Saccharomyces cerevisiae S288C: one gene and its partners. The protein of the gene in region 1 binds, or shares a complex with, the protein of each later gene. Each region holds a gene or a part of one and is shown on either strand. Other genes may lie near its edges. The genes, in order: RSM18, MRPS16, VAR1 and MRP17.

Region 1 (2,903 bases):
AATGATAGAATATTAATTTTCCCTTTATATATATATATATATATATATACGCGCACATATATTTACATATATATTAATGTTTTGTAACCTATATTGGGGCGATTATTCCCTAAATGTAATGTCAGGGTTATACTGTATCAATTGCTAAAGTAGATCTCATTCATCGAGAGCATAGGATGAAATAAAAGATACAAGAACGTGGCGGACAAGAAGAAATTTTACGAAATAAGATCGGCTAAAGCTTTCGCTAAATGCTTCTTTGAAGTGAAATTTAACGGCTTGTACTTAACTTCAGGTTTTATAACGTATGCATGAAGTGATTGAATTGCGCAATTAGTGGTCCTGGAAAGCAAATCCCCATCACTGACATCACTAGTGATTTTATTTTTATCAAGCGCAAGATACTCGCATAATTTACCCATCACTTGATCAAACTTCGGGAAGGTAAATCTTCTAGGAACCTTTGTTAACTTTTCAATTTCCACAATTTTAAGGTGTGTCTCCAAATCACGGATGGTTAAAAAGTTGCCTCCAAATACCAAAGAGTCTACTGGTGTATAAACTGCATGAATATATCCAGCTGGAATCATAAACAAATCACCAGCATCTAATTCCATCGCAATACCATCCTCAAGAATATCACCGAGGAAAACACTATTTTGGTCTTCTTTTAAAGACCACTCAATATACTTATCTATGTTTGATTGGGTAGGTGGAAATAATAAAAACTTCTTCTGTCCTGAGATAACGTTATAATAAACAGAGGTACCGGCAAAATCCAAATGAAAATCCGTATAAGCATCCTTTACAGACATCAAAATATATTTGGTCACTTTTGGCTTGGGGTCATTCTCCTCCGCCTTCTCCCCATTGACTTTTTCTAAATGTCCATTGAAACTCCAAATTTTATCAACAAGATCATTCTGCCTAACTGCAGTGGGCCTCTCTAGTTCTAATCCCTCAATATTAGAGACTTCTAATGATATAACATTCCTTATTCGATCCCTCCTGTCTGGTTCAGTATTTGTAAAATATTCATTCCAAGATCCCAAGTTCCAATTTTCATTCATTTGTGATTGAACGTCCATTACATCAACATGATAATCCTCGCCTATCATTTCGGTGATATAATTAACTGTGAGGCATCCATTGTCTGTGCCCACATTCGGTACATATACTCCGCTATTCAGTGGATCGATGATCTTGTACGGCACATCTATATTATCAAACTTTTCAGCAAAGTCAGCGGCGTTTATAATATTTGAGCCATTTTTCCATTTTTCAAAAGATTTCATGAAACTCTCCTTATGAGGGTGATTCATTTTATCCCTTTTCGATTCACCCTCATTCAAAGCGATATAGTCAAGTAATTTCTTCTTTCTGAAATTATACCGCTTATTTATATGACTATCTTCAGGGTTTTCTTTATTCCTTTGCCGCTTTCCTTTTTGTGTGATGAGAGCGTATGCGGTAAGATATTCTCCTTCCTTATGATTAGGACAACGGTAGCTCTTGATTTGCTTCGCAGAATTTGGATAAGACAGAACTTCAGAACTTGTAAGATTTGAATAGTGAATGCGTTTCAAAGGCACGCATTTCACGTGGACCCACTGCGGGCAACTATCACACTTCACCCAAATTAATGCGCCTGGATTATCCTTCAACTGGCAATGCTGGCAAATATTGGGATCTTGCATTGCACCATAGCTTATTAGTATTTTGTTTTATGATCATTACGTCTTCTTACTCATTATAATCACCCACTTCTATTAGATGTTCTATTATGCCTTTAAATTGCATTGTAGGGTAACCTGTTGGGGGAAAAAATATCTAGGATTACTTTACATACTTAAATATGAGTCCATTATTAACAGTGTTACAGTTCTAACCAAAAAGGCAAGGTTCTACACAAAACTTCGGATGTTCAAGATGAATGCCACCACAGGCATAAAAATTCAAAACGGTATGCAACCTATCATCAAGGGAGCAGTAAGCTCCACATTTAAACGTGCTCTATACAATTTCGGTATCAAAGAAAAGAAGAGTGTCAATATTGAAATGGGGAGAACGCAACAAACAAAGAAAATCGATCAGTCTTTGTCCAAAAAACTTCCCAAAGGTACTATCTACGATCCATTTGACTTCTCTATGGGACGAATCCATTTAGATAGAAAATATCAGGCAAACAAGAACTCAAACAGGAACGATATAATGAAGTCCGGTGCAAATCCACTAGAATTTTATGCAAGACCAAGAATACTTTCAAGATATGTGACCTCCACGGGAAGAATCCAACATAGGGATATCACAGGCTTATCGGCAAAGAATCAAAGAAGACTATCGAAAGCCATTAGACGGTGCCAGGCAATAGGATTAATGTGAACTGTACTACACTAATGCTTCTCCACATGAAATAATTAAGAAAATAAGGCATTTCATAGTTCTGTCTGTAAATATACAATATGTAAAAAGAATCGCAATTAGATCTTAAGTTAAACTTATATTCATTCTTATATTTCTTTAATATACCCGTTTTATTCGCTTACTCGAATTTGGATTATGGTAATGATATTCACGCCAGAGGAATAAGCTGAAATTGACGAATAACTTTTCAAATAATTTTATTACTTCTATTATACAACTTTATAAATATCTAAGCTGCCATTTACTTAATAAGACGGGTTAATTGTTTACGCTTCATCTTCCTGACCATCTTCATCACATGATTTGACATCCCACTTCATTTTGACATCCCATCTACTAGATTTAGCGCTCCAGCTGACGTACTTAACAAACTCCAAAACACTTTCATCTCTCAAGACCAAATTGAAAGTATTCCAAGCAGGTGGATCATTAATCAATACTGAATCACCACTGTCATCCGCACGATAAACAGAAGCGTC
Region 2 (2,660 bases), on another chromosome or scaffold:
ACGTCTCAATGAAGAATAGAAATGGCTCGTCCCAGTATATTTCAGAATTACAACCACAACCTATCTTAGCCCGCACAAATTCTAACAATAGTGTTAGCAACAGTAATGCCTTTTCTTTACTCACGCCAACGCCTACAACAGATTCCGCATTTAATTTTAACATAGCTCTGCTATCGAGACAACGTAGCAATATCATATCGTCCCCCTTAGCTAGTACTCGTTTACCTACAGCAAACGTGTCCACTGAAGAATCCTCTATTTTACCAAATGAATCATTGAAGCTAAAAAGAGATTTATTGCGTCTTAAAAGGTAAATAGTGCCGAACAGTCAGGAGCACACAATACATGACCTATAATGACACTATCTTAATGAAATTCTATTACACTTTCTCTTTTCTTCACATTCGATTAAGAATTTAATTTATTCCATTTCAAGTCTCATTCTCCATTTTCTGGTTGGCCATAGATGTATTATTTACAAGTCTGATAGATATAAAAGCGCCAAGTAAAACATATATACAACATATACATATACACCTCGCATCAATTAAAACACGTTCCTTTGCTTTCCTTTCTTTTTCTTTTTTTTTTTTTTTCCGATCTTTTTCACTCCAATGTTTCCATTCTTTCAAATACAACTTTCCTATTCACATTGCTGTTCTTACTAGTGGCCCATGCATCATTTAATATACCAGCCTTTCGTAATAGTTTAGTAACTGTTTCGCTAGGTTGTGCTCCCACACCAATCCAATATTTTGTTCTATCAAAATCAAGCTTCACGTCTTTAATAGGTACAACGCCCCTCTTCAATTCTCTCTTGGTCACTGGGCTGGGTACCGGCACGTAGGTTCCTAGTACCTCGATCGGTTTAGCATCCCTCGCCTTACGGGAATTAGCCACTACGATATTATAGACCGGACTATTTTTTCTTCCAAATCTAGCTAACCTTATTCGTACTAGACCACAGGTCATACTTGATAAACTCTATTACAATTTCTTAACGGAATACCAGTCAGAACTCCTCCGTTACTTAAGTCGTGTATATATTCCCCTTCCTTTTTTCTTACAACTGTTCTTGGTGTACTATTTCATTTTTTCCGTCCTGAATGATAGATGATCATAATTAGTGAAAATTTTTCTTTTCGCTGCAGTGTTTAAAATTTTAATTATATCATCTCATCTCATCGCGCAATTAGAACTTCCTCGGTCGCAGTTAATTCTCTCAGAGAAGAGTTTTAGTTTGAAAAGGTTCAACTTATTTTTTTACTGATTGAATTCAACCAGGTAATTTCTAGATTTTGAACAGCATCTCGCGAATTGAATCAGCAAATCTCAGAGTTCATCATGGATCAAGACAAAGTTGCTTTTCTTTTAGAGCTGGAGGACAAGCTGGCTAAAATTCGTTCCCAAGTAAACTCTAAATTGGAGAATCAAAAGCATATTGCTATAATATTAACTGCCGTTGAGGAAAATATTGCAGGTCAAGCTACAAATGATGTTTCAAAAAACATTGTAAATTATATCATTTCCTTTATGTCACTATTGGATCAAGCAGTAGACCCATCTACTCATGAAATAAAAGATATTCAATTGGCTTCCTCATCTACATATCTTCTAGATCTGATATTTCATTATTCGCCTAAGGTATTATTAAGATCGAAGTTTTCTGAAATCCTAACGAAAATTGCCCCATGTATCACTGCAGAAAAGGCTAATGCCCCTCTAATTAGAGCTGCTATTGGTTGTTTAGAATCTCTTCTTATTGCTCAAGATGCACAAGCCTGGAACAATACTTATGATCTAAACGTCACTCCAAAAAGAGGTTTGCAGGGTATACTTGAACTTTCTTTAGATGTAAGACCAAAAGTTAGAAAGAGAGCGCTAGATGCAGTTCATGCGGTCTTATTAAACCCTCCTGTTGCACCAACTGCAGAGCATGTAGCGGCAGTTTTTGTAGCAGATTTCTGTGACAAGCAGTTAGCAGGTATTTTAAATGATCTCTCGAATTTATCAAATAAACAATTGAAAGCACAGAAAACAAAGGAAGACATTAACGCTAGTGTCATGCGCTCTCTAAGGTTGATTACTTCAGTCGTCTCTACTGGACAGTGGCCATCTTCACAGATTGAGCCTCTTTGTGATGTACTATTGGGAGTCACCAAAAGCTCAGAGCAATATCTCGTTTCTGCATCATTTGAATGTTTTGAAAGCATGTTCAAAACAATGGCAGAAACTACCATTTCTTCTGGATTGGCTGAAAATAAGTACCTAAGAGTCTTGGATACCATTTTTGCATTAAAACCCTCAAATGTCGATACATTATTAACCAAGTCCTGGATTGCTGTGGTCATTAAGGGTATGTCCACTTACGCAACACATCAACCACTGAAAGCGCTACGTAAAATTCCTGGTGTATTTCACATTATGTGCACATATTTAGCTAGTGAAACTCCAGAAGTGTACCAAGCTGCCTCTCAATGTCTTATCTCAATCCTTTCTGAGTCTGTTAAAGATGATTTGTTATTGTATACACCAAGTGTGGATGAGAAAGTTTTCAAAAACGTAGATGAAATCATCTCTCAAATTGCGAAAACATTTATCGACTTTTTATCCATTAGATATTCCCATTGTTCCAGAGAAATTCTTAAGATTTTGGTGGC
Region 3 (3,793 bases), on another chromosome or scaffold:
TTAATGGTTTCATTCTTATTATTATTCGGTGTATAATATATATAATATATTATAAATAAATAAAAAATAATGAAATTAATAAAAAAATAAAATAAAATAAAATCTCATTTGATTAAATTAATAACATTCTTATAATTATATAATTATTATAAAATATATAAATATTATAATAATAATAATATATATAAATTATAATAAAAAATAATAATAATATATAATATACCTTTTTTTTAATATATTAATATATAAATAAATAAATAATGGATAATATATAATTACTTTTTTTATATTATTAATAATAATAATTTATAAATATTGTTATAATAAACATTTATATAAATAAATATAAATTACCATAATAAGATATATTATTTATTAATAATAAAAATATTTATTAATAAATAAGAAATATATATATTATGATAATATTTATTAATAAATAATAAATTCTTTATATATAAATATATTAAATATATTTAATTGAACACAATATAATTTTTATTGTATTATTCATTTAATAATATTAATATTAATATTAATATAATATTAGTGAACATCTCCTTTCGGGGTTCCGGCTCCCGTGGCCGGGCCCCGGAACTATTAATATTTAATAAAATATATATAATTTATAATTTTCATATAATTAATATAATAATTAGGTTTATAAATAAATTATAATATATTATAACAATATAATAAAATATATTATAAATCTATCTATCTATCTATATAATATATAAATTTATATATACATTAATAATATTTAATTATAATTATTTAAATATTTAATTTATTAATATTCCCCGCGGGCGCCAATCCGGTTGTTCACCGGATTGGTCCCGCGGGGTTTATATTATTTAAATATTAAATATTAAATAATAATTTATATTATATTAATAAATATAATAAATTAAAAATATATGATTAATTATATAATAATAATAATAATTATTTTAATATTATAATTTATAAAATTAATTATATTAATTATATTAATTCTTATTATATAATAATTATTAATAATAATTTATTTTAAGAAAGGAGTGAGGGACCCCCTCCCGTTAGGGAGGGGGACCGAACCCCGAAGGAGAAAATAAATTAATAAAAGTTTAAAAGTTCTTATATTAATAATTATATAATATTATATTAAAGATTTTTATAATATATATATATAATATATTTATAGTTCCGGGGCCCGGCCACGGGAGCCGGAACCCCGAAAGGAGTTTATTTAATATTTATATTTATATTAATATTTATATTTATATTTATATTCCTCTTAAGGATGGTTGACTGAGTGGTTTAAAGTGTGATATTTGAGCTATCATTAGTCTTTATTGGCTACGTAGGTTCAAATCCTACATCATCCGTAATAATACATATATATAATAATAATTTTAATATTATTCCTATAAAAATAAAATAAATAAATAAATAATAATAATTAATTAATTAATTAATTTTAATAAATATAAAATATATAAAAATAATAATAATAATAATTATTATTTTAATAATATTATTTATATAATAGTCCGGTCCGACCCTTTTTATTCTTAAGAAGGGATTTTATTTTATTAATTAATAATAATATATTAAAAATTATAAATAATTAATAATTCTTTATATTTATATATATATATATATATTTATATATTTATATATATATTTTAATAATATTATGATATATTTTATTTTAATAATATTTTTATTTTTATATATAAAATTATAATATTTTATTTTATAAATTATTTATATATAAATTATTAATAATAATTATTTTTTTTTATTTGGGATTTATATTATTATTATAAAGAATATAATGTTATTAATAACTGCAAAAAATATCTAATATATTATTATTTATAATAATAAATAATATTATAATAAGGATGCATATTATATATATATATATATTTCTATTTATATTAATATTAATATTAATATGTATATATAATAGATAAAAAGTAAAAATAAAAAATAATGAAATTAAAATTATTAAATATAATTTTATCAATAATAAATAAACTTAATAATAATAATAATATTATTATTAATAATCTATTAGATTCATTAATAAATAAGAAATTATTATTAAAGAATATATTATTAGATATAAATAATAAAAAAATAAATAATATAAAAAGAATATTAAATAATAATAATATAAACCCCGCGGGCGCCAATCCGGTTGTTCACCGGATTGGTCCCGCGGGGAATATTAATAATAAATTACAACATTTAAATAATATAAATAATTGAAATCTACAAATTTATAATTATAATAAAAATATAGAAATTATAAATACTATAAATGATAAATTAATTAATAAATTATTATATAAAATAATAACTTTAAAATTAAATAATATAAATATTAATAAAATTATTATAAGTAAACTTATTAATCAACATAGTTTAAATAAATTAAATATTAAATTTTATTATTATAATAATGATATTAATAATAATAATAATAATAATAATAATAATTATTATATAAATATAATAAATAAATTAATAAATATTATAAATAATAATATAAATAATAATTTATGTAATATTTTAAGTTATTATTATAAAAAAAAAGTAACTATTGAACCTATTAAATTATCATATATTTATTTAAATAGTGATATTTTTAGTAAATATATTAGTTTAAATGATATAGATAAATATAATAATGGTATCTTAACTAATTATCAACGTATATTAAATAATATTATGCCTAAATTAAATGATCATAATATTTCTATAAATTATATTAATAATATTAATAATATTAATAATAATAAATATAATAATATAATTAATTTATTAAATAATAATAATAATATTAATAATAATAATAATTATAATAATAATAATAATAATTATATTGGTAATATTAATAATATTTATAATAATATAACTATTGATAATATTCCTATAGATATTTTAATATATAAATATTTAGTTGGTTGATCTATTAAATTTAAAGGTAGATTAAGTAATAATAATGGTAGAACTAGTACACTTAATTTATTAAATGGTACTTTTAATAATAAAAAATATTTATGAAGTAATATTAATAATAATTATAAATTAAATTATATCCCTTCTAATCATAATTTATATAATAATTCTAATATTAATAAAAATGGTAAATATAATATTAAAGTTAAATTAAACTTTATTTAATATATATATTAATAGTTCCGGGGCCCGGCCACGGGAGCCGGAACCCCGAAAGGAGAAATAAAATAAATATAATAAATAAAATAAATAAATAAATAATATATATATATATATAAATATATAAAATAATATTTACTTTTTATATATATATAATTATATATAAATAAAATATAATATAATATCATATAATTATATAAAAATAAAATTATAATTTATTTATATTAAAAATATTAATTAATTAATTTTTTTATATAATTATTATAATAATAATTTAATTAAAAATAAATATCAAATAAAATTATAAATTAATCCTACTTTTGGATCCTATTTATATTTTATTATTATAAATAATTATTATTGATAGTTAATTAAATAAAAATATATATATATATTACTCCTTCGGGGTCCGCCCCGCAGGGGGCGGGCCGGACTATTATAATTATTATTAATATATTAATTATTAAATTATATAAACCGCCCCCGCGGGGGCGGTTAGTTATTTATATTAATATATTTTATATTAATATATAATACTCTTTTTTCTATTATATTTTAATATATAATATTAAAAAAAATAAATAAAATAATATTCTTAATTTTTATTCTTTATCTTCTT
Region 4 (2,456 bases), on another chromosome or scaffold:
TCAAAGAGTGATCCATTGGCTGCAGATTCAAACGATATCGAAAGTGTCCCTTTGTCCAACTTGGAACTTGACTTTGATCTTAATATGACTGATGAACCCAGTGTAAGCCCTTCGTTATTTGATGGATCTACTTCTGTTTCTCGTTCGTCCGCCACGTCTATAACGTCACTAGGTGTAAAGAGGGCTTAATGAGTATTTTATCTGCAATTACGGATACGGTTGGTCTTATGTAGATACATATAAATATATATCTTTTTCTTTCTTTTTCTTAGTCAGGATTGTCGTTTAGCATAATATACATGTAGTTTATTTAATCACATACCACTGATTATCTTTAGAATTTTATAAATTTTTGAAATAAATGGGTGGCTTTTAATGGTGTCTATGTTAAGTGAGGCTTTTAGAATGCTCTTCCTGCTTTGTTTATTATATGTGTATGAAAGATATGTATGTATTTACATGTGTTTGTAGCGTCCCCAGTCAAAACCTGTGCGCTATACCTAAATGGATTGATAATCTTCATTCACTAATTCTAAAATAGACTTCTTCCCCAAAGAACGGTGTAACGATGAGGCTCTATCCAGCTGCTTATCTAAATCAACTTTAACGATGGATGATCTTATGACACGGGGATCTTTCTTTAAAGTTCTTAGAATTTCAGACTGTACCGCAGCTGATGAATCAAACAGCATTAAAAAGTGATATGCTCGAAAATGTTTTTCCTGGTCTTTCTTCATTATTTTAGGAAGATACCTTATGCCCATGGGTACAATGTCCCTCACCACACCTCTGTTTTGAATAATCAGTTTCCCGATTGTGGAAGACAATTCTTTTGCTTCCAACTTTGGCGCATTGGAGTTGGTTATGCGAACAAGTCCGATCAGCTCATAAAGCATCTTAGTGAAAAGGGTGGTTTTGCGTTATTCTTTCCTCTGTTGAAGCTTTTCTATTTTGTTTAAGCTGAACTAGTGGGAGTTTCCATTAAAAGGCTAAAGTCTTGTTGAAACTTTTCCGGGTTAGATGATAACTGCGAAAAGATAGATAAAATCAGCATTAAAGGGACTTCGTCTCCTCCTAATCAGAAATCATCCTTTCGAATTATGCGTATTCAGTTGAAGCGTATTTGTGACCAGTGTACTTCAAGGCTGATTGTTTCACCCTTGGACACAGAACGTTAAACAATGAGTTTGTTTGAGTGGGTATTTGGAAAGAATGTCACTCCGCAAGAGAGGTTAAAAAAAGTATGTTGTTCTGTATTTGGATCAGTTATTTTAGTGAACATACTAACGTTAATTATTTGAGTTTTTAGAATCAAAGGGCTTTAGAAAGGACTCAGAGGGAGCTTGAAAGAGAAAAGAGAAAATTGGAACTACAAGATAAAAAACTTGTATCAGAAATTAAAAAATCGGCAAAGAATGGGCAAGTTGCAGCTGCGAAAGTTCAAGCAAAAGATTTAGTAAGAACCCGGAATTACATCCAAAAATTTGACAACATGAAAGCTCAACTTCAGGCGATATCATTGAGAATACAGGCCGTTCGAAGTAGTGACCAAATGACACGTTCTATGAGCGAGGCCACTGGTCTTTTGGCTGGAATGAACAGAACAATGAATCTACCTCAGTTGCAAAGGATATCGATGGAGTTTGAAAAGCAGAGTGATTTGATGGGTCAACGACAGGAATTCATGGACGAAGCTATTGATAACGTCATGGGTGATGAGGTGGATGAAGACGAAGAAGCTGACGAAATTGTAAATAAAGTTCTTGATGAGATTGGAGTGGATTTGAATTCACAGTTGCAAAGCACGCCTCAAAATCTGGTTTCTAATGCGCCGATCGCAGAAACAGCGATGGGGATTCCTGAACCTATTGGCGCCGGATCAGAATTTCACGGTAATCCTGACGATGACTTGCAAGCTCGGTTGAACACTTTGAAGAAGCAGACTTGAGCGCTCTGAGTATATTTAATGAATAATAGGTCTATACTATAATACATCAACTACTGATATCAAAGTAGGCACTTAGAATCAAAAGGCTTCCGAAAATTTGTTCAGTTTTTCACTTTACTCAATCTCGTCACTAAAGTTTTCTTTTTTTTTCGAATGAATCCTCGAATAAATATGTTCTATATTATATATATACATCTTTTATATATCATTAAATGTACAGTAATCGGTCAAATTACAAATGCTTACGGATGATTTTTTCACTGATTAAGTACTCATAAATAATGGTAGCACATTCTTCAACCGTCTTCTGGTCGGTTCTCAAATGTAGCTCTGGAGCTTTTGGCGCTTCATATGGGGCAGAAATACCTGTAAACTCCTTGATTACACCCTCCCTAGCTTTCTTGTATAAACCCTTAGGGTCCCTTTGCTCAGCGACTTCTAATGGAACATCAACAAATATTTCAATGAACTTCAAACCAGCCTCCTTATGTAGTTCACGAGCTCTATC

What was found.
Region 2: RSM18 (region 1) and MRPS16 share a complex: the UniProt entries of both Saccharomyces cerevisiae proteins name them as parts of the mitochondrial small ribosomal subunit.
Region 3: RSM18 (region 1) and VAR1 share a complex: the UniProt entries of both Saccharomyces cerevisiae proteins name them as parts of the mitochondrial small ribosomal subunit.
Region 4: RSM18 (region 1) and MRP17 share a complex: the UniProt entries of both Saccharomyces cerevisiae proteins name them as parts of the mitochondrial small ribosomal subunit.

What each region holds. Positions count from the first base shown.
Region 1 is NC_001137.3:253,450-256,352, reverse strand, and holds RSM18 (mitochondrial 37S ribosomal protein bS18m RSM18), read left to right. Parts: upstream 1-1,965; coding exon 1,966-2,382; downstream 2,383-2,903. Other genes in the region: JHD1 ([Histone H3]-lysine-36 demethylase), read right to left, coding at 219-1,697; TPA1 (oxidative DNA demethylase), read right to left, coding at 2,691-2,903. UniProt on the Saccharomyces cerevisiae protein: Component of the mitochondrial ribosome (mitoribosome), a dedicated translation machinery responsible for the synthesis of mitochondrial genome-encoded proteins, including at least some of the essential transmembrane subunits of the mitochondrial respiratory chain.
Region 2 is NC_001148.4:528,379-531,038, forward strand, and holds MRPS16 (mitochondrial 37S ribosomal protein bS16m MRPS16), read right to left. Parts: upstream 973-2,660; coding exon 607-972; downstream 1-606. Other genes in the region: CIP1 (Cip1p), read left to right, coding at 1-314; mRNA-binding protein RRP12, read left to right, coding at 1,345-2,660. UniProt on the Saccharomyces cerevisiae protein: Component of the mitochondrial ribosome (mitoribosome), a dedicated translation machinery responsible for the synthesis of mitochondrial genome-encoded proteins, including at least some of the essential transmembrane subunits of the mitochondrial respiratory chain.
Region 3 is NC_001224.1:46,918-50,710, forward strand, and holds VAR1 (mitochondrial 37S ribosomal protein VAR1), read left to right. Parts: upstream 1-1,983; coding exon 1,984-3,180; downstream 3,181-3,793. Other genes in the region: OLI1 (F0 ATP synthase subunit c), read left to right, coding at 1-36. UniProt on the Saccharomyces cerevisiae protein: Component of the mitochondrial ribosome (mitoribosome), a dedicated translation machinery responsible for the synthesis of mitochondrial genome-encoded proteins, including at least some of the essential transmembrane subunits of the mitochondrial respiratory chain.
Region 4 is NC_001143.9:436,597-439,052, forward strand, and holds MRP17 (mitochondrial 37S ribosomal protein bS6m MRP17), read right to left. Parts: upstream 897-2,456; coding exon 501-896; downstream 1-500. Other genes in the region: AUR1 (inositol phosphorylceramide synthase), read left to right, coding at 1-189; ESCRT-III subunit protein DID4, read left to right, coding at 1,182-1,241, 1,310-1,948; MET14 (adenylyl-sulfate kinase), read right to left, coding at 2,181-2,456. UniProt on the Saccharomyces cerevisiae protein: Component of the mitochondrial ribosome (mitoribosome), a dedicated translation machinery responsible for the synthesis of mitochondrial genome-encoded proteins, including at least some of the essential transmembrane subunits of the mitochondrial respiratory chain.